Oryzias latipes: one gene and its partners. The protein of the gene in region 1 purifies or fractionates together with the protein of each later gene. This does not show direct contact. Links are inferred from orthologs where the notes say so. Each region holds a gene or a part of one and is shown in the gene's direction. Other genes may lie near its edges. The genes, in order: ubac2, faf2, amfr and tbc1d15.

Region 1 (8,683 bases):
AGTACTGGGAAAACTAAAAGACTTTAAAGTTCTCATTTGTTGACAAATTTAATCCTGTTATAATTCAATATTGTATATGATACAAATGAATGGCTTAATGGCCACAAAAACTTTGTATTTTTCTAACTGTTAAGTGGGGCGTTGTGTCTCTCGCTGGGTTTTGGTCAGAAAGAAACTGCTCCACATGGCTCTTTCTGTGTTAAAAGGTTGAAGACCCCCTGTTTTAGGCCATAAGGATCTCAGAAGATTTTTTTTTTACTAGTGACAAAACTAATTTGTTTTGTAAATGGGACAACATGATGGTTTTATTCAGGATTCGTAGAGCGCTTTTTTTAATACAAATATTAAATTAAATAGGCTATCTGTAAAATAAAACAATAACACTACATTAAGAGTTGCTCTTTTTGTGGGATCCTTTTCAGCAGCAGGAGTTGGTATAATTCTGGGACACAATGACCTTAGACACCCTCCAAAAACCCAAACTTAACTGGACCAGAACAGTGCCCTGCTGATGTAAGAGACCTAAACTTGATACTGAGCTTACTCCTGTTTAATTACAGATAACAATCACATTTTTCTTCCAACTTGCATCAAGATTTCTATATAAATTTGTTTTGATTTTGAGAATGCCGTTCATCGAATTGAATATTTCTGCAGCCCGATTCAAGCTGTCATTTAAAATGTTGTATATGTGTGTTTCAAAACATTGGCTTTTGTAGCACCAATAATAAGCTGAGTCTTTATTTTTAGTGCTTTCAAACTACAGTCTAGCAAATGATGGTTATTACACAATCTTAAAATGAATATCTGAGTATGTGTAAGTTTAAAGGATTGAAAGAGAAACAAAAAGTGTGAATGCGTTTGAAAAACAGTCCAATTGAATGCATTAGAGTTTGTTCTGGAGTCAGCAAAATGTTATCTTAAAGTTTTTTACGTATTAATCTTCAGGTTTCTACTCATTTAACTTTGTCAAAAATGTCTCAGTTTCCTTAGCAAAATCAGACAAACTGTGGAGCGGGACTTAAAAAAGCCTCTGACACGGACAAGTGCTTCCTGAAAATATTTCCAGTGAATTGTAAGAATTTACAGAAATGTGTGAGAATGAGTCACCGGGTTTTGCTAAAATCACCTCAGAGGCTGGCTTACTGAAAGCGTTGGTGACTTCATCCGGTGCTACTTCTCCTCTGTCATGCTCCCTTGTAACAGTCACTGTGTCACATAAACACACACATACACACACACATTCCTCACAATTCAATGAGTAGCATTGTCCTGCTGAGAGATGTGTAATGGAAAAGATAAATGGAGGATAAAGCTAAGGTGACAGGACTGAGCATGCATGTGTCTTCCTGTATTTGCATGTGTGTGTGCGTGTGTCTGCGTGTGTGCACTGCACAACAGACCAGCAAACCATCTGCTCATCTCCTCTTAATGAACAAAGCAAACAGCAGGAGTCAAGGCTGTCTCCAAATCTGGGGTCCCTTTATTGGTGAGCGCACACAAACTCGCACACACACACAATTCTGCACTGTTTAATCTGATTATCTTTGATTGAGAACAGGGGCAAAGCAACCTTTTTAGACCTCAGTCCCACATCAGTGACAGAGAAGGTCTGAAACACAATTAGCAAGCTGTTACTGAGCTCTGCTTTGCAGTCACATCTGACCAAAGGCAGCCAAATGAACCAAATGTGTGGGAACTAACCAATGGAAAATAACACAACTGCATCTGTGGCCGATGAGGAAATTCAACTCTATTAGACAGCTGTTCACCAAACATTTTCGTATGTACTTGGACAAAACACGAGCCGTGGATCAAATGGCTCAGGCGCAAGCATGGCCAGGCAGGAAGTGTTACTCACATTTTGATGTGAATAAAACCGGCAGCCAATTGAAAATAAGACAGAGCAGGATATCTGCAAAGGAAGTCTGGACCTTGACAAGATATGACACTGTGTGCAGAAAGCCAGAAGACCATAAGAAAAAGTAATTAATCTGGACTTTGTGTAGCCACATCCTGCTCACAGACTAAAATGCTGTTACCACTTTGTCAGAAACCAACTCACACAACTTGGAGACGTGCAACATTCCTCATGCTGCTTGGATGCATAGCTGACATGAAATTAATTTTACACACAGAGCAAATACTTGTTGATGATATGCCTCAAGATAGAACATGATTAGGACTTAACTTTAAGGGTCATGGAATTCTGTCTTAGGTTAATAAAAGACACCGATTTGGATATTTAGTAAAATGACCTTTCATTCAGTGAGAAATCTGGGTACCTTATCTGCCTTCATAAAATGCTGAATAAGATACAAATCCCTAGCTGTAGGGAAGTTGTAGATGTCAGATCAGTGGATTGCAACCAATGAATACATACCTCATGTTGGTGAATAACTAGTTAAATTACAAATTGAAATGTTCGGCTTCCATTGCAGCAGAAATGCAGTTTAGGAAAAAGAAAACAGAAGTAAAAACTAACTTCCTACATATTTTTATTTAAAGACTTGGTTCTTGATTTTAGAACTTTTTTTTTACATTGTTGAGTAATACATTTGATGTGTCTCCATCTAAAGATATCTCATGTAACATTTTTTTACATGTTTTTTCTATTTACATTTCTGGGCTTTCAAATCAGATCAAAACCAACAATTTTTCTATTGATCATGACTATAATAGTGATGTATATTTTAATTAATCTAATAAGGCCATGTTACATAAATTAGAATACTTGCTAATACATACTTGTTTTCTTTCTGGTTCATTTCTGATTTGTTGATTACTTGTTGCTAGAATGTGAGTTGATCATTTGATCGGGGCTGTGGGATCACCCTAATCTGTATGGTAAGGTATCCTGCACTGCAGCCTCATGTGGGCCCCAACTCCTTGTAATCTGGGTGGTCTTGTGATGATAGCCTCTGAGAGCATGAGTGGGATGGCCCCTCCTATGGACAGTTTCCCATTATAAAATATTGTTCCCTCACTTCAGTAACAAGCCAGAACTTCCACCTATTATTATTATTATTATTATTATTATTATTATTATTATTATTATTATTATTATTATTATTATTATTATTAACACTGTTTTCTTTCAAACAAAAAAATCTATTTTTTGTGTTTATAAGTTACATTTTGATTGATTGGTTTTATGATCAAACATGAAAACAAAAGAAAAACTTTTTTTGATGAGTCTTTCGTCAGTTTATTTAAACTTTAAATACTTCTGTACGTTTAAAAAACATGTATTTTAATTTAAGTAATTTTTTAGATTTAATTTAACACAGGTGCTTTGGTGAACGGAGCAACGGCGCCATCTACAGGTATTTCCCTTGCAAACGTATTTCTGCTTTTTGACAAGGTACTTTTTGTTCACGTCAGGCTTCCGTAGCTACCTCCTTCCCCTGCCACCTTCCCGTCATAGTGACAGCATGGGTTCTTTCACAAACTTTATGTCAATGTTTTATTATTAGTTTGTTTTGGTACTGGATTATCGGCTATTTTCTGGATTCCTTTGCCCACATAGACCCCATGTTTACCACCACCGGGTCCCGGGGCCTCTGTAAGTTTACCGGGTGACAAGTTAACTCGAACGCTTCCTTCAGTTCCTCCAGCACCTAAGCTAAGCTAGCCTACTTTAGTATTGCGTTGTCGTTAATTTACTTAATGTGATATCCCGAGCTAGAACCGTCGTGTTTAGTCGAAACAAAGAAAATATCTGATATATGATGATTTGCCTCTTAATTCAATTCTTTATTTCAATAATGTGAATTTTGGCTATTATTAGTTCCACTAATGTGAACTGTGCTACCTACAGTTGTAGGAAACGGAATGAACTCAAACATTAGGCAAGCCCATTTATCACGGTTTAATCGAAAGCGATTGTGTTTTTGCAGACAAGGCTCCTCTGTCCAAAAGCCTTCTGTTAGTCCTCAATGGACTGACTCTGATGCTGATCCTTCTGCCTCAATACCAAGAACTCTTCATCTACAACCTGCAGGCTCTCACACAACAGCAGCAGGTATGTTTGTTTGGGAGCTACACTGTCAAATGCACTGTTTACACAACATCTAAAAACAAATAAAAACATGGAATCATAAGTTAAAATAGCTAAAAAGATAAGAAAGAACAGAAATAAATATAAGAAAGGGAGGTAAACACCTTATTTGTGAGAATCTCCTGAAAAGGTTTAAGGATTGTTTTGATGTCGTTGCATCTATTTCCCTCAACTTTTGCTGAACAAAACTCGTGCAGCAACATCTGAACTCTAGGTAATCCATGGCCTGCTAACAGCTCATATGTCTCCACTTGCCATTTTCAGAAGCTGGTTTTTGAGAAACTGCAGAATAACTGGAAGTATAGTGCAGCACAAACAAGAACCCAAAAAAATTGTTTTTTTTTTTTTTCAAAATATTCCTCTAAACAGAAATATAAATGTTTATTTCTGTACACTGCAAACACGGCAATGAGATTTGTTTCATTAAAAAATAGTTGGATCCATTGATATATATTATTATATTGTGTATATACATATATCAATGGTTGCATCCCTTCTTTTTTTAAATGAGTTTGTTTTGTGTACAATTAAAGTGGTTAGCTATGTACTTTCTATGACGTAGGTACATATACCCTTGTTGGAAATTGGACTTTCTACTTGTTACTGCTCTTTACTCTTTTTATTTATTAAAATGTACCTCTTCCTCTTCAAATGATTTAAACTAGGCCTGCACAATAAATAACAAATTTATTGTTATCACAAAAGACGGCAAAAATTAGCAATAAACGGTTACTTTAAATGTGCTTTAAGAATCTTATACCAGCTCAAAGTGTTTTGCCAATCAAATAAATCCCTTTATGCATTTGACCAATCGGATGGTCATATATCGCACGTTATATTGTCTTTGCAAAATTGATCATTAATATCGCGTATCGCGAGTTTTCCTCATATCGTGCAGCCCTCATTTACACCATGACCACTTTTTGCACATTGATCTCTTCTGTTTGTCTTCAGCTGCTCCAATCTCATTGCATTTAACAATTGTGAAGACAATAAATGATTCTGACAGTTTAGTTTTATTCATTTAGTATTTTTTATTTTTATTTTTTTTGTTTTCACAACAACCCATGTTAACCATGTTGACCTCAGCGTAATAGAAAAAATATGAGAAATGTGTTCTGTGGTCCAATTAGTTTGTGGTTTATTCCACATTTTTAGAGATAATTCTGGTTACTTAACAGGTGTTTTTTTTATATATCTGTACTTCAATTTTCTAACTTTATTTAGTTCAACCTTTTTGTTCTGTTCACTATGATAAAGAACACAAACATCCAAATGCTTTGAAAATTGAACTGTATATGCTTTATGTTTTCCATAATGTTTTTTTTTTTTACATTTTATTTTTTTCCATGTTTTCTAGGTGTGGAGGTTGTTGTGTGGAAGACTTGTCTGTCTAGATGTTAAGGACTGCTTTTGCTGTAGCCTGCTGATTTACAACTTTAGGATCTTTGAGAGGAGGTTCGGCACCAGGAAGTTTGCCGTGAGTGTTTAAGTGGAGGATGCTCTTCCTCACTAAAGTTTCTCTCTTTGGATAGTTTCTCTTTTTTGGGGCAGAGATGAAACCTTGTCTTGAACTCTAGTGCTGGACAAAGATACAAGTTCTTGGTTCTGGGTAGCATTGCAGATTTAGTCTTTCGAAAAACCACCTAAAGATGAGCACAAAACTGGAAAGAAATGACAGATTCAGTCAGTGTGCGGAGAAATTATTATTGAGAACTGTTTTGCAGGATGAGTCTGAGCTTTATTTGCGGTTAAATCTCCAAACCTGCCTTAAAAAAAAGAAGATGATTGTATTTGATGCTGTTCACTACTCCTGTCATCTGACTCTTTGCTGTTTTTGTTTTCAGTCCTTTCTATTGGGCACTTGGTGTTTCTCTGCCCTCACAGACTTTGTGTTGGTTCAGGCTTTTCAGCATCTGTTTGACTATGAAGTGGAAGAACTTCCTGCTGGACTGTGAGTTCATTACAATTCTAATCCATGTGTCACATCTCTGAAAAGCAGAGGTTTTTATTGACAATCACACTTTTGCTAATAAGTTTTGAGCATTGCAGAGTTTAAAGGCACGATCAAATTGTGCGTCAGTTAAAAAAAGACTGCTGTTTCAAATAATCTTTTCCTTCGTCTTAGAACTTTTCTTTTCTTTTCCTTCTTTATTTTCCTGACAGGCTTGCACCAGTTTTTTCTTTGTTCGTGCCTTTCTACCTGTCAATCCCCAGGATGCCAGTCACCCAAATACTTGGTCACATCCACATCACCAACAAATCTCTGGTGTACATAGTTGGCTTGCAGGTAAAACCAGTATTCTGCTATTGTGACTAAGCATGTTTATCGTAGTTTATCTCCTGCTGGTTTTTCTTTTTTGTTTTTTTTGGAGTTGTTACATGCTTTCTCTGTCTTCTTCCCTGAATCCTTCTGTGATGCAGCTACTGACTTCCAGCCCCTTCATGTGGCTCCTTGCTCTTAGTGGACTGGTGAGTTACCATCAATCCTGAATGTTACTGTAAAGTACTAGTTTTGATGACTCATGATGGAATGTGCTTCGAGTTATTCAACTATTATCACCGATAATATCACAGATTTCACATTGATGGCAAATCGGCGTAAATAGTTGACAGTTTGCTAGTTCAGCCACATAAACGGATGTCATGAGCATCACTCTCAGCAGTTGCTCCTGTTAGCTTAACCTAAGTGTCATTCGTTTGTGGTCTGCCATACTAGTTTTTTTTTAAGCTTTTTTTTTTTTTTTTTGCTGCTACTTTGACAATACAAAAATATTAGGGAGAATTTACAATTCTTGTTTATTAATTTTACTGAATCAACAGCATTTTTGTCTTTCTTACATGTATGTGCTGCAGGGATCCAACAATTCATTTTCCCCAGGATTCGGTTAAAACCTCAATTTTTGGGTCATGATTTTGATTCGATATGTGATTTGTGTATTACAAAACACAAACAAAAAACGTGACATCTTGATTTTATTTTATTTTTTTTTTATTTGCTAATAAGCAAGTAAGGGCTTAAGCTAAGCTTACCAGTAGTCTAATGTAATAAAACAATAAATAAATCCTTCTTAAATTCAGCACAGCAGTTGTTTGAGACTTTTAACGTAAACATACTTGTAGAGATGCTTCAATTCACGTACAATTTACTAGCTAGCAATAAATAACCATTTATTGCACATTAAGTGCATGTTCTCATGAAAGGTTTTGATCCTTAAAAGAAATGTGTTTTAACATACTTCTCTGTTTAGATTATGGCCTGGCTATGACTCTTTTTTATTTTTTATTTTATTTTTCTTGCTCCTCTGTTGCTAAAATCACTTCTGACTGATGTTTTTTTTCTTTTTCGTTTTATTGAGATTGCATTTTCTTGAATGTGCTTTTCAGGTCTCGGGCGGGCTGTACCTCTCCAATATTTTGTGGGTCCAGAAGATTCTCTTTGTTCCTGCATGGGTGTCTCGTATCGCCCGGTATATTCTGGAGCCCATCGTCTCAAGTGAGGACAGTTGTTGAGTGCAAACAGAAATTCAAAATGAGATGTCTTGAATACTACTGAAAGAAAATGACATAGACTGGTACAGAGTAAGATTTATTTTTTTAAATAAAAATACCAAAATACAACAAAGGATAAGTTTTTAAAACTCAACATGTACCAGCAGTATTAGTACAGCAGACATGGTGCGAAAGACTTAAAACATTAAAGGTAATAAGCAATTGATGGAGTTAAAAATTAGATTAGAGTGGAGGCTAAAATTTACATATGTATGAAAATACTCAAACTCAATCAAAAAATATTAACAAAACAAAAAATAAAGAAATATTTTTGCAGTCAAGACATGTATTCAGCTTTGTTATGAAATACTTTCAAAATGAGGACAAAATTCTTACCATAATGAATAAGTAGGTAATTTCATCTGTCAAAGTAAACTTTCTCTTTATCATGAACAATAATTATCATTTTCATTGTTTTTCTGATATTAATATAACTAACTTAAAGAAAGTAATGTAAAGAAATGCAGTACAGCAACTTTGTTATCATAGTTTTACCATTGCATGCTTTTTCTTTATTATAAAAATGACCATGTCAAAGTTTACAACTTTTTTCCTAATAATAAAAAGAAAACGTTCCAGCAACCTGGATTTGAAGCCATCAAGTTTGAAGGCATGTGTTCAAAAAATGATGTAGGTTGATTTGTAGAAGTGATACCCATCTCCTCCAACTCCTGGAGATGAAGTTGTAAACATAAAATATTGGTATTATTAGCAAGTTTTCTTGACGGTATCTTAATATTGAATCGTTATTTTTCAAGGCTCCCAGCCAAGCAATGAGACGCCTCTGGGGATGGGGGCCACTCTGGACATTCAGAGGCAGCAGAGAATGGATCTGCTGGACCAGCAGCTGCTCTTGGCCCAATATAACGAGGCTGGAAGGAACGCCACACGTCAGCCTCAGGTCCGTGCACAGATTGAATGCAAAATGAAGGGATCGCATTGGTGGAATCTTGATGGTCAACTCCTTTCTGGGCGGGGGTTGTGTGTACACGTGTGTGCGTGTAGGCTGGGCTATTACAGTGGACCAGGTTGTTATCTTCTCTGAGGCACCGTGGGCAGAATGGACCCCCA
Region 2 (8,628 bases), on another chromosome or scaffold:
AGTGAAAGTACTAGCATCAAGCTACTTTGTTCGTTTTACAGGACAGATGATTTGATTCATGGGATCTAGTGGCTGTTTAGGTTTCTCAAAAAGAACTTTCAGCAAAAAGTCGTTTTCTGCGAGTTCTGGGCTCAAAGGCATCATTGCCATAAATCTGTTACCTCACCTGAAGTATTATCCTCTGACAACAAGAGAAATCCCTCAAACTCTGCGGCCAAATCTCCACTTAAACACAGAAACGCACAAAAAAACACATTAATCTGTGATGGACCAGGCAATCACGGCTGAGAGGACTGGAACTTAATCCAAAAATAAATCCTTTTTAATGTCGAACAATGTTGTCAAGGTCCAACTGGTTTAAAAGAGGTCAACGTTAACTCCAAATAATTCCTTACTAACGTAAGGAAAGAATCAAATGACTGACCTGTCATTACCACACAGCCGAGGACTTTTAAATGAGTGGGTTAAACCACTACTGATACCATGGGGGGGTTGAAGCAAAAACATCAACAACGGGAGAACAGAGAAACTATTCCCTTCCCCATGGATTACAGATAGTGGCTGTTGGAGAGCTTCTCAGTTCGGCACCATCTTTAGGCCACCTCAGGCAGGTACAGCTCCACATGACAACTCAAAGCAACAAACAATTAGTATACACAAATAACCACACTAAAAGTACACATAAAATCAAGTGGAACTGTACACTACACCTTAATGTTAATCCTGTGTGACCGCAGTCATCTTTTTTTTTCTAAAATGATCCAATTTTGATTTAAAAAATAAAAAAAATTCCTTTCCAGTTTTTGGTTGAAAGGTTCACTAATTACCTTTTTGCACCATTTCAAGCTTTTCATTGGACTTTTATTTCCTGGATAAAAAATAACAGACAGTTGCAGTGTTCTTAATCTGTTGACTGCTAGTGCGTGTCTTGAAACCAAAGTTTCTTTTGGATTGTTCTTTAGGTTCGACATATCCTCTGTGAAAAACATGGAAAATGCATGGAGGCCATGGAGAAACTGAAGGCCGGTGTCCGCTTCAGTGAAGTAGCATCACAGTACAGTGAAGACAAAGCCAGACAAGGAGTAAGTCTGCCTTTTAATGATTCATTGGTCATAAAAAAATGTCCTTTTACTTTGTTTAAACTCTAAGGAGTTCGTTTCTACCATAAAAAGGTAAAAATGTCTGCCGTAATTGTATTTATCTAAAGTAAAAACAAATAATAAATACTTTAGATTTGTAATTAATATGTGGTGTCCGAATTTTTTGAACTCTTGATTAATCCAATTTATGCAGCCTGTCATGAATTTAGTTAATTTTAGTTTCTTTGTATATTTAAACAAATCATAGGTACAACATAAAAGAATGAGTGAGACTCATATAGGTTTATCAGATGTCTAACATATGATGTAAACAATGTAACTAAAATAGGATGAAAAGTTTAAAAGACAAAAAAACTCATCATTCAGAGTAACATACTAAAAAATATCACAAAAAATAAATAAAGAGCAATACATTCTAATGTCTCAACAGCAAAAGTTAATGGGGCTTCTGCTAAAGAAAATGCCAATCCATTCAGAAAAACGTCAAGTCTAAAATGTTGTCTTTTTTATGGATTGAAAACATAATAGATCATTATTATATGGCCTGAAATTTTTACTTAATCCATCTCTGTTTCTTAAAAAAAACACTATGCTTTATACATACTTAGGAAGAAAAATGGTAGAGTTTAGTGGAAATATATATATAAATTGACATAAAAAAATGGGTTAAACATAGCTATGTTGTGGCTAAGCTGTTTTATTTGTTTTCTACTATTAAGAGCGATTCTCTTTTATATTTCAATAGATGACAGTGAATGTTCAAAACATACAACATAACTATACAGTTATGCTAGAATTAAGCTAAAAGGCTAGTTTTCATTTAGACTTCTTGGTCAGTCAAAAAGCCATGAAGAAAATCCACAAACCATATTAAAAAAGAACAATTAGAAGAAAGACACACAGAGTGTAAACTGTGTTACAGTAGATTTTACAAAAGGTCATAGTTAAAAATGAGCATTCTATACCAAGGGAAACAAAGAGTCTATCAAATTAATATAATATTAAGTAAATTAAATTATTATTACAATTTTTTTGTGGTTCCCTCATCATTGTGTTGTCAACAGGGTGACCTGGGCTGGATGACTCGAGGATCAATGGTCGGACCTTTCCAGGAGGCGGCGTTTGCGTTACCCATCAGTTCAATGGACAAACCGGTTTATACAGACCCTCCTGTCAAGACAAAGTTTGGGTATCACATCATTATGGTTGAGGGGAAAAAGTAAAATTAGCCTCTCTCTCTATGAGATTGGACAAAACAGTGATATGTGCAAAAGCCAAAAGGACCAGACAAACATATGATTGAAACTTGCGCAGCAATTTTGTGAACTACTTCAACAAGATTGGCTTTTGGAATTTTCTGGATTTTTCTTTGCAGTTTAAGGTGTTTCGTTGAATTCCAATAATAAAATAAAGACGTTCCAAATAAATGCCTTTTTTAATCATTTGGTGTCAATTGTGTGATACTTTCAGAAAAAAACAAAGATAAAATCATGTTCTGGTATTCTGAAAAGTAAGATTCACTTTTATAAATGTGAACATGACTATATTACATATAAAATGTGCTTTATGGACATTTGTTTTACATTTTAAATACTTTTACTGTATACTTTTACTTTTAACTTACCCCAATCATATTTAATAAAAAAATGATAGGTAAATCTAAGCAATTTTAGAAAGATACTAAATAATTACAATAATTATACTGTAATGACAAAATTAATAATATCTATCTATGTATATCTATCTATCTATCTATCTCTCTCTATATATATGTGTGTGTGTGTGTGTGTGTGTGTATGTATATATATATATATATATATATATATATATATATATATATATATACACACACACACACACATATATATATAGAGAGAGATAGATAGATAGATATATGTGTGTGTGTGTATATATTGATATACAGTATATATTTATATATATAGATATATCTATTTACATAAAGACAAATTAATTTAAATAACGAAGACTGGTGTTATTTTTAGCTTTTAATTAAACACTATATTGTTAGTTTCTTTTTTTCTTTCTTTATATTTTTGTATTTTTATTTGTTGGTCTTCTGGGTGACAGCCAGAACAGTAGGGGGCAGCACGCTGCACACCGCGTGACGGAACCGCACCAGGAAAAGACGGTTGACGTTGTTAAGCCTTGCTAGATGATTGGCGAGGTAAGATGGCGGCGCCAGAGGAGCCAGAATTATCCCAGGCGCAGACCGAAAAACTCCTTCAATTTCAGGTAGACAGACTAAGTTTTTTTCATTTCCACACACATGTGTGATAGCTTGTGTGTCGGTATGTTTTTGCCGATAGTGAGTCACCGTTAACTTGTTAAGATTTGTATGTGGGAACCCTTTTTGCACGGTCAACTTCGATAATTCCCCCCAACGTCAACTTGAGTCAGAGCTGGCGTTAGCGAGGCTAGCTAAAATAGCTAAGCTAGTTAACTAGTTAGCCGACTTTCAGGGACACAGAGTGGCTTTAAAAACGCTACTTTTATTTTGTGTTGTAAAAAAAAACACAACCAGTCCTTATCTTAAATATTCTACCTACCTTCGTACTATTTTCTTTTTTTTTTAATTTAAATACCATTTTAGGTTTTCACTGACGTTCCCTATGAGCATTAGCACATCTGTCATTCTAACCTGATTCTTTCTGGAGTTTTAGGGAGAAAAGAAAAACCGTTCCAGTTGTGTCAATAGATCTTACGTTGCAACACAGAGACTTGTCTGCTCGTGTTTGTCGTTATACCCGAGATCAGAATTCTTCAGACTGTAGGAGGATCGCCTCTCAGTCACATTTAACGTAATTGTTTGTGGATTCATTTTTTTCGCGTAATCTTTCAAATCCCAAGTTTCTGTTACAAACGAGCAGGCCAGAGCTTACATTTGAAAACAAAAGTCAATTTACTGCCACATAAAGGCTACATTAGTGAGATCATTAGTCTGTCAGCTACATCATCATGCTGTTTCTATTTTTTTTTTCAGCCATTTCAGAGCCCTAAATATTTATAAAATCATTGTTTGTTTGTTTTTCCTCATAAAAATCTGTTACTCTTAAGTTCTTCGAGGCTGCCAACCTGTGGTGAACTAATGATCTAATACTGTGAGAGGAATGTTGATAGATCTATTTGTGTCTGTTTAAAAGCTTTTTTATTTTTTTTTATTTTTTTAACATTAAATTTGAGGCTTAAGGAGGGGGACCTTGGCAAAAAAAATCTGACTAGTTTTACATTCTTTCCGCTGTCATCATCAGCTTGACTTTCACTTCACGTTTAACAGGATTTAACAGGTTTGGAATCAATGGACCAATGTCGCCGAACATTAGAGCAACATAATTGGAACATAGAGGTATGTTTTCTTTTTTCTCCAAATATATGCTCACATTGTGGACCCTATGAGGGTCTCTTTGAAAAATCAGTGAACAGTTTTTAATGTCGAATCAGCAGTTATTGATTAACTGCTACTGTGAATAGGAGACATTGGAGAAGCAATTGTTTTGACTTTTAACCACTGAAAGAAACTGTATCATTACAATTAAATTACATTAAAACAAAAATAATGATTCAAACGGGTATTTTAATTTGTCATTGGATTTTCATTTTGCTTGCTTGAATGTACAAACTGAAAATTCTCTGATCACTGTCCAAACAATTGGAGCTTCAGCTATTGTAAAGTGTGACTGTCTAGAAATGCTGTGTTTGGTTTTCAGGCTGCAGTGCAAGACAGACTCAATGAGCAGGAAGGAGTTCCTAGTGTGTTCAATCCTCCTCCATCCAGACCGCTTCAGGTTAACACAGCAGACCATAGAGTTTATAGTTACATCGTTTCACGGCCTCAACCCCGGGTATGTCTTTATTCGTATTATCTCAACCCCAGATAAGATTAGTAGAAAAAAATTGTTTATTCTAGCTTGATATGTATGGTCTTTGAAACTATGGCACTGTTGTTTTTCTAGAAGTCGTCTCTGTTTTTCTTTTGATTTGTCATTGTGTGTTGCTGTTCAGTTTTTATTTATTTATTATTAATTGCTATTAAATGCTATTTTGCAGGGATTACTAGGATGGAGTTACTACTTGATAATGCTCCCCTTCAGATTTACATATTACACACTCCTGGACATATTCAGGTAATTGAATCACATCTGCTTAAGGTACTTTTGCTCATTTATGCATTAAAGCAATAGAGTTTCACATGTGTCCTCCCCTTTATTTTCAAGGTTTGCCCTACGGTTCATTAGGCCAGATCCTCGCGGTCGCGTGACAGACCCTGTTGGAGATGTGGTGTCTTTTATTCAAAGTTTTGAAGAGAAGTATGGCCGGTCACATCCTGTGTTTTACCAGGGGACCTACAGCCAGGTGAAAAGATAGTTGGAGAGAATAGAAACACATTTAACAGAAGCGGATAGATGGAATGGCATAGAAACTGAGCACGTTTGTGTTGTCTGTTTGTGTTTGCTTTGCAGGCACTGAATGATGCCAAACGGGAACTCCGCTACCTGTTAGTGTATCTTCATGGAGACGACCATCAAGACACAGACGAGTTTTGCCGGTATAGTAATCATCTTTGTGTTGTGGCCATCTGGACTCCTGAATATGTAGCACTCATTCAAAGACTGTTGATATATTAGCCCAATAGAGCTGTTACGAGTATCTGAATACTCGAATATTTACAATCTGTTCCCGAAAATGCAACTACAATGTGATGTCAGAGATTTCCGAATTATGATCTTCCAAATACCAAAAATCTAATTATGTTGTCTGAAGTGTATTTTTACTATGAAATGTAGTGAAAATACACTTCAGACCATGTAATTACTGCTCAAAGATGCTATTAAATTACAAATTTTCAGTTTATATACTAAACAAACTGAATGTGCAACTGTTAGGGAAGTAAATGAAATTTCAGAGTAAAGTGTCGGTGAAGGTTCTTATTTTCTAATGACTTAGATAAAAAAAAAAGACTGAAGTTCAGTTTACTAATATGTGTTCTGAAAAAAATAAATTTGTTTGAAATATATTAATAAAAATAAAGATGAATAGGAATTTTAGAATATTATGAAAATTGTATCAATTTCCTTTTAAGTTTTTTTTTGTTTTCTCGATTGAACATTACAGAACAAGGCTTAACACAGCGAACCAGCAAAAGAATCCAGTAATTACAGCCGGAAACCCAAATGCAGAACAACAGACAATGGCGAGACAGAGTAAACGCAGTTTTGTTATGCGGGGCTTGTGTTCTTCTGTCTGGAGACACTTTGTCAGTTTAGATCAAAGGACTGTTTTCTTGTTGCTACAGAGTTGCTTTTATTTAGGTATTGCTGTGTCTTTTCGTAATTTATTTACTGTAATTATAGTCAGCTAAAATTTGAGGTTTGAAAATCTGTGGAGGACATTTTCAGTAGTTTGTTGTAAAATGGCACAAACAGCTGTGACATTTGTTTTGTTTACTGCAGAAGTCAACCAGGAAGTTCACCGAAGAACTTTTGAGGGTGACACTGTTTAAAGTGATCATTTCTTTCTTAGTGTTTTTATATTTTATTTTTCATTTAGCCTGGTCTCCTCTTTAAGATAAAGGTATAGATGATGATGATTAAATACATACTATTTCACTTCTAATTCATCCATTGCAAAGATATTCAGTGGTGGGCAAAATTGTTGGTAGCCTTCAGTTAAAGAAAGTCCACAATACTCACTGAATGTTTATGGAAAATAGTGAGAATTTGGGTTTGATTTCAGATGGCTTAAGTAACAATCTACAGCTCTATCCATTTATTGAATTTAACATCTGTATAAAAAAATGTATAGCTAGCTGCTTTGGGATAATATATCCAGACTAAAGAAGTATTTGTTTTGTTATCTACTGTTTCCCTTTTTAGTTCGACGTTATGTACAGAAGAAGTCATAACCTTCCTCAACACACAAATGCTGTTTTGGGCATGTTCAACCAGCAAGCCTGAAGGCTACAGAGGTTTGTCCTTTTTATGCCGTCAGTCAAATACTTTTGTAAAATGTCACTCGTTGTTCTGAACATCAAGTTCATGTTTGATAAAATAAGGTTCTTTCTAATGCAATTTATCCATATTTAATTACCAAGACAGGGTTATTTTTAATAAGGAAATCTGCATCATTGACATTCATATTTTAGTACAAAGTAATTTTTACTCTGGTGTTGTAAAATAATGTTTCTAAAGGTACTGTTTTATATAATAATTTCAAAGATGCTGCTTTTTATCTTAAATATTTTTAATTTATAAAAAAATATAGCTTATTAAATCTGCATAGCCATTTAACTCAGACCTTGGAGTGGCACAAATATATCCAAAAGGAAAATGTTTTATTATGAATTAGTAGCATCCCGCTTCTGCTCCAACAAAAGTACTTGAGTGTCTGGTTTGAATGTTGTGGTTGAAGTGTCCCAAGCTTTGCGGGAGAACACCTATCCATTCCTGGCCATGATCATGCTCAAGGACCGCAGGATGACTGTGGTGGGCAGACTGGAGGGTCTCATTCAGCCAGAAGACTTCATCAATCAGCTCACCTTCATCATGGATGCCAACCAAACATATCTGATGTCAGAGCGCCTTGAACGGTGTGTGAAACGGGATCTTTTTTAATATCTTAACAGGAAATCGATTTTGTTTATATTTGATCTTAAAAATTAAATTGATCACTAGTGTATCAACGATCTGAAACAAATATGTGGGTTAAAGCCTTTTTCTTATTTTATTTAATGTGCATTAAGCACATTAAACTCATTGTAAAATGTGTGATGCTCATGTGAGTCAAAGCGGTGCAGACAGGCACTGCACACTAATGCACAGCCACTAAACAACAGTTGGAGTTGAGATGACGTTTTAGTTGCAACATGGACATTTATAGAGAGTTGGATGACGTTTCTGTTGAAGCTCAATGTTCTAAAAGAAATGGTTGCTTTTATTATAGAAAGTTGTGGTGTAGATCTTCTGGGTTAAAACCACCACATGGTATCGGTTAATGCTACCAAAATAGACGTGTACTGTGAAATTCATTTTCATTTAACACGATATGAAAAAGAAAATTTGAGAATTAGAGAAAATGTGAGATTTTTCATTCAGTTTCTGTGCAAAAAGTTAACAAAGAGGGTCAGGTGGTCCTTAACTAGACCCATAAGTCCCCGCATATCGCTCGATATAGGGGGACTGCAACAGTTATGGTTTTTGTTTTTTATGGTTTTATATAAGTTCTTTTTCTCTTTTTTAACACATTTCTGAACACTTTTGGGTTAGAGTAAGTTGTATAATTTCTGCTCCTGGCTGATGGTGTCAGGTGGCATCGTGTCTGAAGCCAGGTCTCTCCTCTTGTGAGTTAGACATCACGTTCAAATCATCATCAAAGTCGTTTTATAATGGTCTTATCGTTGCTTTAAATACCTATATACTCCGTGTTTAATAAGCATTTACTGGGATAATAAACAACACATATTAATTTTTAATTAATTAATTTAATTAATTTAATTAATTTTTAATTAATTTTA
Region 3 (8,517 bases), on another chromosome or scaffold:
GGTAAACTATTTAATATTAAACAGAAATTGTAGAGTGTAATTGATAAATTAGATGAAGAAAATGTGTTAATGTTGTTACAATGTTTCATATTTAGTTTCACAGGTTTAAGGTATTTTTAACATGTACTATCAGATATTAACACTTCCTGGGTGGATGGCCCCTGATCCGACTGCTGCTGTACTGCCAGCTCTCTGAGTTTATTTGTATAAACAGTCATTTCCTGAAACAGCCTAACCAGGCGAGAGCCTTCCAGACTTCCTCTGAAATTCTTTGCAAAGAAAGCATACAACATGGGATTTACCGAGCTGCTAATGAAAACAAGAGCACCAGAGCTTAAGACAAGATACTCAGGGACGTATTCCTGTTCAGTGTCTGATATCACCAGGGAAATGACAGTAATGATGTTGATAATATGGTGAGGCAACCAACACAATATGAAAGCAATCAGCACAGCGTGAATAAGAACCACTGACTTTGGCTTTGAATTAAAACTCAGTTTCTTGATTTTCATGCTGACATGACAGCTACAGATGGAAAGAATGATTAAAGGAAGTACAAATCCTGCTAGTGTCTCCAGGCACACGATGATGATTGCTTGGGTATCAGTGCTGAACTCTCTAGAAAAACACTGGGTAACTCCACCAGCTTCGTTTAAAGTTTGGGTCAGGATGGCTGGCGTTCCAAGAGAAAAGGCAAGGAGCCACAAAAATAGAAGAAATGTGTTCATAGAACCTTTGCTCCCCCAGCGCAGCATTACAAATGGATGAGAAATCGCTACAAAACGTTCCACACTCATTAGAGTGATGAAGAAGATGCTGCTGTACATGCAGGTACTGATGAAGTACACCAAAGCTTTGCAGGTTCCTTCTCCAAACTCCCAGGTGTGCGCCATGGAGTAAATCCACAGAGGCAGGGTGATGAGGACCACGGTGTCTGCAACAGCAAGATGCAAGATGAGCATCACCGTGTGTGAACGCTTCTTCATGGATCTCAGGATGGTCCAAATCACAAACAGGTTTCCTGGAACTCCGATCAAAAAAGACAGGCCCAGAATGACGCATGCCAGTGCAGTCCCGGTGCCATACTCCTCAGGAGCCTCTGTGGGGGATTCCACAGTGAAGGGATTCATCCTCCAAAAATGAATTCTACTTCTAACGTTCTCTTCTGTCTGACTAAGAAATGATTTAAACGTCTCCAAAAACAATACTCCACTTCCCTTTTTGTGAAAACTGAACAGAAACCATGTATTTTCAAGGACCCAATTATCACATGGCTACTGTTGTTGCATTTGCAATGTTGTGTGTTTTAGTAAAATTGCTTAGACATATTTTTTCTTGTTTTTTTTCTCCTGTTTTTTTGTTGTTGTACCAACCACATCCTGTGGGGAAAAAATGTCTCTTATCTAACAGAAATGATTGCTGTTAAATGAAGATCCAGATCTTGAGAAGGAGACTGCTGGTTTTGGCCACTGATTCAGGATTCCAGGCAAAAGCTGAAAAAGAAAAGGAGGAAAAGACATCCATATTATGACTTTGTCTATGCTTATATCTCACTAACTTGTTTCATAATCATAACTTAGAATGTATAAAATCGTTGATTTTTCAAGGCAACGAGAACATACAGTGCTTTTTCTTTGATCACCGTGTCCCGTGAGATGTGCCGATCAATAGCAAAAAAGCTGAAATGTGAGTGAAAGTGCAATCTCCCATGGCACTGACAGATCTAGAAACACTCAAGTAGAAGAAAACAGATTACCTGAAGTTACACTTCACCAAAAGTCCAGCTCAGGGATGAAAGAAAATCCAAAGCAAAGTAACTTCTTTTTTTTTTCTGAATTTGAATCTGTTACAACACTCCCATAAATGTTAACTTTGGACTGCAACTTCATTTCTGTCCTCTTTTAGAGTAGCTAATAATTAACATCTGGCTATGAAGTTTCAAGTTTATTCTATCTTATCTGTCGTTACCCTTCATCATGATCTAGTTCCTAATTTTTGATTTTACAAAATATATAAATAAATATTAATATAAAATATATGTTAATGAAGAGTGAAAGCTGGAACATGAAAGCAATCGGTACCTGGAATTCTGTCATGACTTTATTATAAAACAGCTTTTTTTCTTCTTCTTCACTCAACAATTGGTACGTTTGTTTTATTACACAGTTTGTTCAATATTAATAGATATTACCTGACTCTGAAGTTTGTATTCGTATGCACGAATTTCTGTTTAGGTAGATAGTTTTATTTATTTTTATTGTAAAAGGAAAAAAAGGAAATGTGTTTGTTACAGGATGTATTGTTATAATGCATCTTAAAAAAAAAAACTTACTGTGTTAAATTTTATTTACTATCCTTTTAAATTGAGTTACTTTATAATAAACTTGTGATAAATGTGCAAAATCTTCTCTCCCAGCACCAAAAACATTATTCTAAAATTAAATCTTTGAGTGTTTGAAGTTTGAATAAACAAAAAATATGAGCAATTTGGCAATTTATTTTTATATTGACAAACCCCATTGACGCCATGAATTAAACTACTTTGACTCTAAACGTACTTTTTTTTTAGCTGGAAATAGTGATTACGCTGTCTGTGGGTTATTGGGTTTATAATATGTGGAAGAGCTAAACACATCCACAATAGCCTTGGACCTCTTCTGGTCACACACTGCTTTGGGATGCCATCACATTAGTCTACCATGGGCTGGCAGCCTGGTTGTGCTGGTACTACAACAGCCCCAAGCTGATCCTTCAAATTGTCAAAACAAAACATCAAGGAATCAAAAAGGACATCAGCTGCAATAACCAAAGCTAGCATTCCAAACGTATTCAATTACAGTAAAGGCCACCTGAAGGTTTCACAAATGTAAAACTGAGGCAATGACGTCATACATTTAAGACGTGTGTCATTGGTTTAAAAAATTGGGCAAATTCTTTATTGATGCAACTCAATCTGCTCTGCTGCCCATAAAAAAAAAAAAACTTTTTAAAAATACAAATGTATGGTTCTAATATATGATCATTTTTTAAAGGGCTGGTGTTATATCGAATTATCTACCAAACACTAATTTCCTAACATTGTGAAGTGAGTTTTTATGTATAAATACATATTTATTACTTTGAAAAAAATCTATCTAATCTGATTGGTCTCATCATTACATGCATAAACGTCTACCCTGCTGTCATTAGGGGTGAATTTCCAAAGAAACGACGTCTCCTGCTCTCCCGAATGAGTCGCGACTTTTCTTCTTTGTTCTAGAAACTACCCGTTCCTGTCTTCGTGGTTTATAGCACATTTTAAATAACACATTACAAGTGGATTCGTGCAGCTGATAGCAGCAAAGGTAAATGATATTTTAAGTGTGTGAAGTGAGTAGGTAGCAGCGAAATCGTGTGAAATCGTGTGAAATATGATTTGAATGGCGATGCCTTTAAACAGCCACGATGACGTAGTTTCCCTGCGCAACCAAGAAGAAGCAGCTCGCGAGTCAGCCGTTCAGCCTGTCGCTCTGCTCGGTGGCGTAAACATGACGATGTTGTCGTCCTCTATGATCTTCTTCGTGCAGCTGCACTAAAACTCGGTCCAGTGATTAGGACATTACCCGGGATATTGGGTCAAACGTTGTCTGTAAGGAACTGTAAGTGGAGTCTAGACACAAAGCCGCAGTTCGGCGATTGGTTTTAGCTTCGCAGCAAAGATTGGCTAACAAACTAGCTAGTATTAGGTAACGTTAGCTAGGTGAATTACTAACACTGGACATGTTAACTCACTTTAATTATTCTATTTGAATATTTTTGGTTTGATTATTTATTAAAATACACCCAAAGACAAAAAACCGAACGAACTTGATATATTTTTTTTAATTAAAGAAGCTTATGGGGGTTAGCCACTTCCTGCGTTAGTCTGTATTAGCATTTTATTGCTTTAGATTTTATATTCATATAATTTTACTAATGATTATTATTTTAAACTTGCCAGTATTGGTGAATTGGTATCGCCCTCAAATTGCAAACCCCATTGATTACATAATCTGTTTAGCTGTTTAAAGTCAGGCCAACATTGGCTAATCCAGATGTGTGTTGTTTGTTAACAGACTTTTTTTTCTTCCTTTTTTCGTTGAAGACTACTGCACCCACTGCAATGCCTCTAATGTTTCTGGAGAGGTTTCCGTGGCCCAGTTTGCAGACTTACACAGTATTGAGTGTGGCTTTACTCGCTGGGAGCATCTTCAGTGCCTACCCTACGGTGACAGACCCCGGCTTTGGGGCCTTGGAACCGGACGATACACCTGCTCCCTCCCACGTCGATCTTGAACACCTAAGCAATGCTGTCAGTAACTCAGAACTGGCAACAACGATCCTGTGGTATCTTGTGACCGACAGTCTGTTTGTGTGGGTAAGTTTCACTCACTTTAAAACGTTAGACTAATGTAGGGGTGTGACAATTCATTTTAACAATGGTCTGATTCATATCCTAATTTGTGGTTTCTTAATACTCAATATTGATTCATTTTTAATGGTCTGATATGATTCGATTCACTGACCTAAAATGAGTCGAGGACTAGGGAACACAAGCCACAATTTTCTAAGGTCCAGTGACGAAAGTTGGTGACCACAAATGGTAGAGCTTCCAATTCTGAACACAGAAATAAATGAAATGGCCCAATAGACCTCAAATTAAGTTATTATTATATTACGTCTTGCTGATCACCTTTGTTTTGCGGAAAACAATGGGAAAACCCGGTAATCATGTATAGATATATCAAGTTTTTTTTTTTTTTTAATGTCTCTTTCGATGCCACAGCTTCTCTATCTGTGCTCTAAACACCATCAATCTGTCACAGGACATTATTCAAGGGATTCAGCAATGTTGAATATTTTTCAGAAGATCATTCAATGTATACTATTGCATACTTTACCTCTGCTGAGTGCGGTTTATTATTCTGTATTAGGGACTTGAACCTGTGACCGTTTGTTACCGCGCTCTTTAACATTGTTTGTCACGATGCGACTTGTGAGACTTGGGTCCGCAACGACGAACCTCGCGCGGTTCATCAAGGTTCCTTGATGATGTGTTGGCGGGTGGTTTTTGGGACCTAATTTATCTTGTGCCTTTTCACTATCCATGACTCATGATCCAAAGCCATGAGAAAGCTGCCATTTTCTCACAAATGTCCGCTAAGTCCACTCTACCTTGTTTCAAATCAAAATCAAAGTATAAGCTATCCCAGTACACACAGTGAAGGGTATTTCATCGCTGTACATTTTCCAACGCGGAAACAAAGTTCTTCAACGGTGAAGCAAACATGCGCAAACATATGATGGCCGAGAGCTGCAAGACACATTTACATTTGAGATACAACCATTAACAAATCCTGGAACAAACAAACAAATCATGAAGCACTAAAAACAATTTTGGAACAAATGAACAAATACTGAAACACAAAAGCAAATCACTGAAGAAATTACAGAGTCCTGAAACCCAAAAGCAAATCCGGGTATAAATTACCAAATACCAAATCAAAAAAACAATCTCGGTACAAACGAACAAATGCAGAAACACAACAAGGAAAGTGGAGAAACGGCTTCTAACATCCTGAATCCCGGAAGTGACGTAATACATAACTAATTATGTATGATTTTTTACATTTCTTTATCACTGTTTTTTTTAAAGTGGACATTTTCAATACATGAAACAATCCAAAAGCATTTTTTTAAATTTTATTACTACAATACAAATTACAACAATGTGTTAGCAAGGTAAAGTTTTTGCTGCACTTCCGGTAATAATGGTATTCCCTTTCCATTAAGCTTGCACTAGTGCAAAACACGACTTCAGAAGAAGGAGAAAAAAATGAACGAAAGCGAGCAGCTGCCAACGGAAAGGGAATACCATTACTACCAGATGTGACGCAAAAACTTTACCTTACTAAACATTTTTTTATTTTGTATTGTAGTAACACAATTTAAAAAATGCTTTTGGAATGTTTCGTGTAATTAAAATGTCCACATAAAGAAAACAGTAATAAATAACTTTAAAAAAATCATAGTCAATTGGTTTTATATTATGTCTTTTCTGTTAGAAGCCGTGACCTGCTTTTGTTGTTGTGTTTCTGGATTTGGTCAATTGTAACAGGGTTGTTTTTTGTAATTCTGTATTTGGTCATTTCCCCCCGGATCAGCTGTTGTGTTTCAGGACTCAGTAATTTGTTCCATGATTTGGTGTTGTATTTCGTGATTTGATGTTGTGTTTCAGTATTTCTTTGTTTGTACCGGGATTTGTTGTTGTTGTATCTTAAATGTAAATGTGTCTTACACCTCTCGGCCACAGTACAAACGTCATGCACAGTGACACCCTTTGCAGTACCTGCTAGGACATCTTTAGGCAAAAATTCAACCAGTGTGACTCAGAGATGAATACCTGGGTACTGAATGGTACAGGGGAAGTTACACCAGAAATTGTACATTAAATATGTGTACAAACATACAAGAAAACAAGATCCAATGGCAATTTTAGTTTCATGAAGTTCAGCCCACTGTTGTTTTCCCACATGAAAATAATCCAAACTGAACATTATTAAAACAGTCTAGCACACTCTATGGTCACATATCTTTGCAAAATTCCAAGTTTTTCCACACATTGGACTGTAATGATGACTTGATCATTTTTTGCTGTCATTGTGTGTGTTGTCCGCTGTGATGCACTTTATCGGTTTTACGTTTTAGTAAAATAAACCTACCGTGTCTTAATCCAAATGGTATTTTCCAATACCGATTGTAATCAATTAATTTCATTCTGAAATGATTTTAAAAAACTATAAGTTGATATGATTCATAACTTCCCTCTGACAGAAGGATCTGGTTGAATCATAGGAATATTCATCAATGAATTGATTAATGGTTACACTCCTACTAATATAACGAGTGCATCTACCAAAACTCACTGTTACTTTATACCATTTCCTAGGTGTTGGTGAATACATTCTGCTGCTCCTTGATGCTAATTGCAAAAATGATTCAGTATGTGGTCTTTGGACCTCTACGAGTCAGTGAGAAGCAGGTGAGTTTTTAATTGTCTTAAATTCAACTAATGGGTTTAGTTTCTTTAAAAGTGTTTTAGCTGACATTCAACAGACACTAATACAAATAATTATATTGTCCTTCTTTTCTCATCCCCTGCAGCATCTCAAAGACAAATTTTGGAACTTTATCTTCTACAAATTCATTTTCATCTTTGGAGTCTTGAATGTGCAAACCGTTGAGGAGGTGGTCATGTGGTGCTTGTGGTTCTCAGCTCTGGTTTTTCTCCATCTCATGGTGCAGCTTTGCAAAGACCGCTTTGAATATGTAAGTATGGGGAGCGAACATTTTAATTTCAACTCTTCCTGGCTGTTGTTGTTTTTGTGGAGGCATTTAATAATTTGTTCTAAATATTTTTTATATATTTATCTAATTGCTGCCATGCAATTAAACTCAAGATGTTAGCTTGACAATTATTTAACAAAAAAGCAGAATTTGAACTGCAAGAGATTTTTATGGAAACTTTTGTTTCATTTTTTTATTTAGTTTTAGATATATGGAGTTCATCAACTTCTGAATTAAGAGTGGTCAAAAGACTGCATGTTTTTGATTGGCAGATGTTTACCAAGAAAGAACAAAGTGTTAGAAAAATGTATTTTCTGAAACTTAAGTTATTTTATCTTAGGAGCTAGAATTTGTATTTAGAATAAACATTAGGGCTGCACGATATGAGGAAAACCCGCGATTTGCAATATTAGTTAATAATATTGCAATAACGATATAACTTGTGGTAAAGGAACAAATAGCAAAACAACCATCAACCAAACATCTTTCTCATTTAATTGAAACAGTTTGAAAATTATACACCAAATGACCCTTATTGACACAGGAGATGAACATCTGACATAAAAGGCTTCCATCGGATTGGTCGAATGCATAAATGGATTTATTTGATTCGTTAAACACTCCAAGCTGCCATAAGATTGTTTTAGCACATTTAAGGTAACCATTTATAGCAATTTTTTGCCGTCTTTTGCGATCTGCATATTGCACAGCTTGATATCGGGATAACGATAAATTTGCAAATTATTGTGCAGGCCTAATTTAAACATGTCTAATCTTGTTTTGGCAGTTCTGATATTGTTAACAATTTGTAAATTAGGATACTAATGCTGGATATCTAATCTACGATGTTTAGTCAGGCTTTACAGGTTTTGGTTCTCTCCTATACTGGATACATGACAGCACTTGTTTAAAACTTATACTTTAGCTTTGGTTTACATAAACTATTCAAAAACTGCTTTGTGAATGTTATAGCAAGACTGTATATTTTCTTCAGAAGATTGTTTCAAGTGTCTTGTATCATAAAGTCTTAGCCTTAGATCTATTATTAGCCTCTTGTGACAGCATGTTGGTGGTACAGTTTCACTTGCTATATTGGCTTCCCCCTGGATCAAATAGTGTTCTGCATGTTGGGCAAAACAAAGTATCAAATTT
Region 4 (7,055 bases), on another chromosome or scaffold:
CCAGCCTGAGGACACCCTTCTGGCGTTATACATTTAGCTGGCAGATGGGGTGAGTCACCTGGTGCAGGAGCTTCATTCGTTTCTAACTGTGTGCCCATTCTCCAGGTTATGTCCAGGGCATGAGCGATCTGCTCTCCCCCATCCTCTATGTCATGGAGAATGAGGTGGATGCATTCTGGTGCTTTGTTTCCGTCATGGACCAGATGGTGAGTTCTGTGAGAGTCAGCAGCAGGCCAAGGTAGACTAACCTCGCTGAGGGTTCCTCTTGTGTGTCACAGCACCAGAACTTTGAGGAGCAGATGCAGGGCATGAAGACACAGCTGATCCAGCTCGGCACACTGCTCAGACTACTGGACCCCACCTTCTGGAACTACCTGGGTATTTGGTGTGGATGTTGGAGATTGGAGCTTCTGCTGTTTGGCCGTACTCACTGTTGGTTCTTGTCCCCTCCAGAGGTTCAGGAGTCGGGTTACCTGTACTTCTGCTTTCGCTGGCTGCTTATCCGCTTTAAGAGAGAGTTCAGCTTTCAGGACGTTCTGCGGCTCTGGGAGGTGAGTGTGGTTCTAAAAAGGTTCTAATTGGACGGCTCGTGCAGAATCGTCAAACCATGACCCAAGAGTTCTCCTCAAAGACACGATAAGTCGACCTCAGAGGGCAAAGAACGACCATCCAGACCAACATTTTTACAGACCCACCCCAGTGAAAATTGTGTTTTGAGCATGTTCTTGTAGCATTTTTGTCATGATGGAGGACATAGACACAAAAATCGAGTTTAAAACCTCATTTATGAGTATTACTTTTTTTAAATTGTGAAGTCTTCAGGATTTTCATTATGTCTAAAAACGGCATCATCATAATGACATGACCAGTGGGAATACTTTTACAATAGATACAAATGTAGTTGGAGTGGGTCTTAAACCTATTACAATCAAAGTTACTTAATTATGAGTAAAGTGCCTTTCATTTCTTTACATAGAACATAAATAAATCTTCATAAGTCTTCCCAAATATTCTCTGGATTTCATATTTGAAGTCTCTGTTGAATAAAAAAGAATGTAGCTTAAACAGAGTTTTAGGTTAAGTTATTTTTTACCTTACAGTGAATGCAGTTTTAAATTAAAACCATATGAACAGTATAAATAATACCAAGTATTCATTTATTCAGAGTCATTGTTGTCTATATCTTCAGCTGTGTATCAAACTAAATATCAAACACTCACAGCATCAGTGAGATTGTTGTCCAGGCGAACCTTTGCGGTCTCCAAGCTGTGACTCACTCTGGGTGCTTGTTATTGTTGAGCATGGATTGTTGTGTATAGCTGTGTTTAATGACGGTTTTTAGAAGATACAGAACTTGATGGATCAGGGCTCGGATCCTCCTGAGGTCTGACATGCCGTCTGCTCTCTGCTCTCACTCAGGTGTTGTGGACCGGGCTTCCCTGCCAGAACTTTCACCTGCTGGTGTGCTGTGCCATCCTGGATTCAGAAAAACAGAAGATCATGGAGGAGAACTTTGGCTTCAACGAGATTCTGAAGGTGAGTCCAGCCTGAAGGCCTCCAAGTAGGTCAGAAGGTTAGGAGTCAGGATTAAGAAGCAAGCAAGGAGTGAAAGACACACTCCCATGAAAATGATGTTTTTGTGGCATTTTTCTCATGATGGTGGACACGTATAAAGAAAGCTACGCTTAAAAGTGCACTTCTGAGTATTTCTTTTAAATCATAGTGAATCAGAAGCAGACAAAAAAAGCAGTTAGAAAAAGCTTCTTGCTGTTATGCACAAACTACAACCGGCAGGCCCAAGTCTCCCTGCTCCACTCATTTCTGATGCATCCACCTGCAGACCAAAAGATCCATGAACGTCTGAGCTGAAAAATCTATTGGTCACATCCGGACCACCTGTGACATCCATGCACGAGTCATTAATGTGTGCACGTGTTTGTTTCAGCACATCAATGAGCTCTCCATGAAGCTGGACATTGAGGAGATTCTGCAGAAGGCGGAAGGACTCTTCCTGCAGATGAAGAGCTGCAAGGTGAGCCTGGCACCTGCATGCCTGTGTCTGTGCATGCATACGTGTGCCTGTGCGTGCATGCGTGTGTCTGTGCGTGCATGCGTGTGTCTGTGCGTGCATGCGTGTGTCTGTGTGTACATGCTTGTGTCTGTGCTTACATGCGTGTGTCTGTGCGTGCCTGTGTGTAACTGTGCGTGCATGCATGTGTCTGTGCTTACATGCGTGTGTCTGTGCGTGCATGCGTGTGTCTGTGCGTGCATGCATGTGTCTGTGTGTACATGCTTGTGTCTGTGCGTGCATGCGTGTGTCTGTGCGTGCATGCATGTGTCTGTGTGTACATGCTTGTGTCTGTGCGTGCATGCATGTGTCTGTGTGTACATGCTTGTGTCTGTGCGGGCCTGTGTGTGTGTATGCGTGCCTGTGTGTGTCTGTGCGTGCATGCGTGTGTCTGTGCTTACATGCGTGTGTCTGTGCGTGCATGCATGTGTCTGTGTGTACATGCTTGTGTCTGTGCTTACATGCGTGTGTCTGTGCGTGCATGCGTGTGTCTGTGCGTGCATGCATGTGTCTGTGTGTACATGCTTGTGTCTGTGCTTACATGCGTGTGTCTGTGCTTACATGCGTGTGTCTGTGCGTGCATGCATGTGTCTGTGCGTGCATGCATGTGTCTGTGTGTACATGCTTGTGTCTGTGCTTACATGCGTGTGTCTGTGCGTGCATGCGTGTGTCTGTGCGTGCATGCATGTGTCTGTGCGTGCATGCGTGTGTCTGTGTGTACATGCTTGCGTCTGTGCTTACATGCGTGTGTCTGTGCGTGCATGCGTGTGTCTGTGCGTGCATGCATGTGTCTGTGCGTGCATGCGTGTGTCTGTGTGTACATGCTTGTGTCTGTGCTTACATGCGTGTGTCTGTGCGTGCATGCGTGTGTCTGTGCGTGCATGCGTGTGTCTGTGCGTGCATGCGTGTGTCTGTGCGTGCATGCATGTGTCTGTGCGTGCATGCATGTGTCTGTGCGTGCATGCAAGTGTCTGTGCGTGCATGCATGTGTCTGTGTGTACATGCTTGTGTCTGTGCTTACATGCGTGTGTCTGTGCGTGCATGCATGTGTCTGTGCGTGCATGCATGTGTCTGTGTGTACATGCTTGTGTCTGTGCTTACATGCGTGTGTCTGTGCGTGCATGCGTGTGTCTGTGCGTGCATGCGTGTGTCTGTGCGTGCATGCGTGTGTCTGTGCGTGCCTGTGTGTGTCTGTGCGTGCATGCGTGTGTCTGTGCTTACATGCGTGTGTCTGTGCGTGCATGCGTGTGTCTGTGCGTGCATGCATGTGTCTGTGCGTGCATGCGTGTGTCTGTGTGTACATGCTTGTGTCTGTGCTTACATGCGTGTGTCTGTGCGTGCATGCGTGTGTCTGTGCGTGCATGCGTGTGTCTGTGCGTGCATGCATGTGTCTGTGTGTACATGCTTGTGTCTGTGCTTACATGCGTGTGTCTGTGCGTGCCTGTGTGTGTCTGTGCGTGCATGCGTGTGTCTGTGCTTACATGCGTGTGTCTGTGCGTGCATGCATGTGTCTGTGCGTGCATGCGTGTGTCTGTGTGTACATGCTTGTGTCTGTGCTTACATGCGTGTGTCTGTGCGTGCATGCGTGTGTCTGTGCGTGCCTGTGTGTGTCTGTGCGTGCATGCATGTGTCTGTGCGTGCCTGTGTGTGTCTGTGCGTGCATGCATGCGTCTGTGCTTACATGCGTGTGTCTGTGCGTGCCTGTGTGTGTCTGTGCGTGCATGCATGTGTCTGTGCGTGCCTGTGTGTGTCTGTGCGTGCATGCATGTGTCTGTGTGTACATGCTTGTGTCTGTGCTTACATGCGTGTGTCTGTGCGTGCCTGTGTGTGTCTGTGCGTGCATGCGTGTGTCTGTGCTTACATGCGTGTGTCTGCGCGTGCATGCGTGTGTCTGTGCGTGCATGCATGTGTCTGTGCGTGCATGCGTGTGTCTGTGTGTACATGCTTGTGTCTGTGCTTACATGCGTGTGTCTGTGCGTGCCTGTGTGTGTCTGTGCGTGCATGCATGTGTCTGTGCTTACATGCGTGTGTCTGTGCGTGCATGCGTGTGTCTGTGCGTGCATGCATGTGTCTGTGTGTACATGCTTGTGTCTGTGCTTACATGCGTCTGTCTGTGCGTGCCTGTGTGTGTCTGTGCGTGCATGCATGTGTCTGTGCTTACATGCGTGTGTCTGTGCGTGCATGCGTGTGTCTGTGCGTGCATGCGTGTGTCTGTGCGTGCATGCGTGTGTCTGTGCGTGCATGCGTGTGTCTGTGCGTGCATGCATGTGTCTGTGCGTGCATGCGTGTGTCTGTGTGTACATGCTTGTGTCTGTGCTTACATGCGTGTGTCTGTGCGTGCATGCGCGTGTCTGTGCGTGCATGCGCGTGTCTTTGTGTACCTATGCGTGCATGTGTGTGCGAGTCTGACCTGGTTCTTCTCCTCAGGACCTACCTCGTTCTGTCAACACCATCCTTGGTCTTCAGGAGCAGTGCAGAGAGTCCGACAGCTCAGATTCTGGCTCCGCCGTGGCCCATCGGCCGGCTGACCGGCGGGAAGCCTGTTCCAATGGACACACAGGACACTCGTCACAGTGACGTCCCACGAGCTGGCGTCGTCCTTGGGGGGAGGAGGAGGGGAGCTGAATGAAAATCCTATTTTTGTAAATTGCTGCACATCTGTCCAGCTGCTGGATTTTTTTGGCCATATTTTATAAAAACTCTACAAGTTGGACAGGAACAGGAAGTGCTTTCTGACACGACGTACCTCTGCAGCCAGTCAGAGCCAGAGGGCCCAGTTCAGGAGCTGCCCGACTCACAGGCTGGCAGGCTACCCTGAAGAAAGCCGGCACCGTGTGCAGTCAGCTGGTTCTGGATCAGACCTCCTGCTGGATCGGGTCAACATGTGCTGCCTGATTGGCAGATGAGTTAAACACCAGAAGGAGCCCGGCAGTCTCCACCCTCGGAGTTCTGATTGGAACAGAGTTCTGGTTCTAAACTGATCCAGTGGGTCAGAACAGATCTGTCAAATGTAACTATGTAATAAAAGACCAATGTTTTCTTCAGCTCGAGTTCACTCATTTCAGACGTTTCTCACCTGTCGTGGGGGCGGAGCCTGAGTGGGAACAGGGCAGGATGCACGGGTTTATGGCTGTGTGTTGTCATCAGATGGCAGGAGGTTGTGATCAGAACCTGACCTAGACTCAGTGATTGGCTGCTGCTGTCTGCCCTCTGATGACATCATCAAATCAGCTTGACTGATCTCCTCCTTGGGAAACACTAAACCAGAATCTTCCTCTGGTTCTGAGGGATCCTGGTTGTAGTGGTGCTCACAGACCTTCAGGGTTGATTTGGAGGACGAGGAATGGCCTTGGAGTCTGGTGCTGCAGAACCAGTTCATGCAGCTCTGTATGAGATATATGACCAGAATGATCTCCTTCGTGGGACATCAGATAATAAAGCACCAGAACAGAACAGTGAGTTGTTTGTCCGCTCTGCCTGCAGGACGGTCCAGATCAGTTTGTTCTTCTTTATGCAGAGAAATAAGCCGGCCCCATTCGACCCGGTGATGAAGATGCTGAGGTACGGCAATGGTTCTGACTCCAGGAAGGAGCACCCTCTTTCATTTTTGAAATGTGCCGGCTGCTGCAAATGTCAGCTGCTTTCATGTGAGTGATGGACGTCCCCTCTTCCTCCTCACAGGCGTTAAGCTGAAGACAGAGGAAGAGGAGGGTATCTTCTGCCATCTGCTCATAAAGCTGCATCACATCCACAACAAAGCTCTTGCTTTCATTTCCTGTCTGGCAGGAAATTGGCTGCTGCTTCTTATCAGCTCCTCACCTTCAGAGCAGGCGAGCTGCGCTCCTCATCCTCGCTGAGGAGGAAGAGGCTCAGACAAGGACAAAACTGGAGCTCCAAACATCTGCTGAAAGGTCCTTTTTGGACACGAGAGATCAGAACAGAACTGCTACATGCTCAAGCAGTCCAGCTCGCAGTACTTAGGTTCTGACCCAAACTGTCAGAACTGGAGTCTGGACGGGACCAGAGGCAGAAAGGAGGTGGAAGATGGTCCCATCTATTTCTATGAAACTCAGTCGGGTCAGCACTGACCCGGTTTAGGTCTAAGTACGTAAAACTGCACAAACGTGCAGAACTGATGTAGAGTGGACCTGCTGAGACGCTTCAGTCATGAATGGATCTTCAGGATCTGCTTCTCTCCAATCTCCAGGAAGGTCTTCGGCAGCTTTGGATCACTCAGACGACTCGGGACCAGTCCAGATGGTTCTGTGCTTGGACAGATATTTGGACCTCTTCTGTCCTGGTTTAAGACCGTACCTGAACTTGGGGTTCTGGTTGTTGAATGGTCATCTTAGGCACCAGAAGATCCTACTGATGTTTGGACCTGAGGATTACAGTGAACTTGAACTTTACTGTACCACCGCTCAAGGTCCAGAAGAACCAGAACTCGGTTGGTTTATAGACTGAGACCACAGACAAGTCTGTCTGTCCTGTCCCTTCAGCTCTTCAACCCGGACTCAACCCACATGGACTCCAGATTCTGGTTCCAAGCTGAGTCTGTATCCTGTCTGCCACATCCGACTCTCTACAGAGTGGGCCCCACCCTCCCTAGCTGGCAAAATGAGCACCACAACTCATAGAGAGGAACAAATGGGAGGAGCATCCCCCTCCCTCAGGTATTTATGTGGAGGCGGGTCGGCGCTCACCCGCATCGCAGAAGCAGCAGCAGAACGGCACACTGGAGCCCTGGTACTCCTACACCCACTGGTTCCCCATGGCTTCAGGCCATGTGATGAAGGATGGCGGGCCAGAACCACCGCCCCCCCGAATGCAGCCGGCCATGATGATGTTCTCTAGCAGGTACTGGTCCAGGAGGGGACTTTCACTGGACTCAGCCATGTTTGATCACCGGAACCAGAACCTGCCGCAACAGAAGCACACTGGCGGGCAGATGGTAAGAGAAGGTCGCTCCATCCTCCTCCTCTGGTTC

The links.
Region 2: the proteins of ubac2 (region 1) and faf2 purify together in Homo sapiens (affinity purification with western blotting; 7 studies listed by BioGRID and IntAct, with this or other methods). This does not show direct contact. The link is inferred for Oryzias latipes from reciprocal best matches to the Homo sapiens genes UBAC2 and FAF2.
Region 3: the proteins of ubac2 (region 1) and amfr purify together in Homo sapiens (affinity purification with western blotting; 4 studies listed by BioGRID and IntAct, with this or other methods). This does not show direct contact. The link is inferred for Oryzias latipes from reciprocal best matches to the Homo sapiens genes UBAC2 and AMFR.
Region 4: the proteins of ubac2 (region 1) and tbc1d15 purify together in Homo sapiens (affinity purification with mass spectrometry; 3 studies listed by BioGRID and IntAct, counting the BioPlex papers as one, with this or other methods). This does not show direct contact. The link is inferred for Oryzias latipes from reciprocal best matches to the Homo sapiens genes UBAC2 and TBC1D15.

Annotation. Positions count from the first base shown.
Region 1 is NC_019873.2:18,565,277-18,573,959, reverse strand, and holds the start of ubac2 (ubiquitin-associated domain-containing protein 2), read left to right. Parts: upstream 1-3,380; 5' UTR 3,381-3,534; coding exon 3,535-3,565; intron 3,566-3,899; coding exon 3,900-4,024; intron 4,025-5,420; coding exon 5,421-5,540; intron 5,541-5,907; coding exon 5,908-6,014; intron 6,015-6,226; coding exon 6,227-6,350; intron 6,351-6,484; coding exon 6,485-6,532; intron 6,533-7,447; coding exon 7,448-7,556; intron 7,557-8,370; coding exon 8,371-8,513; intron 8,514-8,617; coding exon 8,618-8,683. UniProt on the Homo sapiens protein: Restricts trafficking of FAF2 from the endoplasmic reticulum to lipid droplets.
Region 2 is NC_019868.2:20,364,773-20,373,400, reverse strand, and holds the start of faf2 (FAS-associated factor 2), read left to right. Parts: upstream 1-3,227; 5' UTR 3,228-3,290; coding exon 3,291-3,353; intron 3,354-4,395; coding exon 4,396-4,464; intron 4,465-4,825; coding exon 4,826-4,960; intron 4,961-5,165; coding exon 5,166-5,242; intron 5,243-5,332; coding exon 5,333-5,471; intron 5,472-5,578; coding exon 5,579-5,664; intron 5,665-6,991; coding exon 6,992-7,083; intron 7,084-7,526; coding exon 7,527-7,704; intron 7,705-8,628. Other genes in the region: pin4 (peptidyl-prolyl cis-trans isomerase NIMA-interacting 4), read left to right, coding at 963-1,082, 2,165-2,323. UniProt on the Homo sapiens protein: Plays an important role in endoplasmic reticulum-associated degradation (ERAD) that mediates ubiquitin-dependent degradation of misfolded endoplasmic reticulum proteins.
Region 3 is NC_019861.2:26,261,847-26,270,363, reverse strand, and holds the start of amfr (E3 ubiquitin-protein ligase AMFR), read left to right. Parts: upstream 1-3,463; 5' UTR 3,464-3,638; intron 3,639-4,123; 5' UTR 4,124-4,141; coding exon 4,142-4,396; intron 4,397-6,967; coding exon 6,968-7,060; intron 7,061-7,182; coding exon 7,183-7,347; intron 7,348-8,517. Other genes in the region: leukotriene B4 receptor 1, read right to left, coding at 117-1,130. UniProt on the Homo sapiens protein: E3 ubiquitin-protein ligase that mediates the polyubiquitination of lysine and cysteine residues on target proteins, such as CD3D, CYP3A4, CFTR, INSIG1, SOAT2/ACAT2 and APOB for proteasomal degradation.
Region 4 is NC_019864.2:5,643,759-5,650,813, forward strand, and holds the end of tbc1d15 (TBC1 domain family member 15), read left to right. Parts: intron 1-105; coding exon 106-206; intron 207-278; coding exon 279-378; intron 379-453; coding exon 454-551; intron 552-1,419; coding exon 1,420-1,536; intron 1,537-1,945; coding exon 1,946-2,032; intron 2,033-4,495; coding exon 4,496-4,645; 3' UTR 4,646-5,112; downstream 5,113-7,055. Other genes in the region: tph2 (tryptophan 5-hydroxylase 2), read left to right, coding at 6,840-7,019. UniProt on the Homo sapiens protein: Acts as a GTPase activating protein for RAB7A. Does not act on RAB4, RAB5 or RAB6.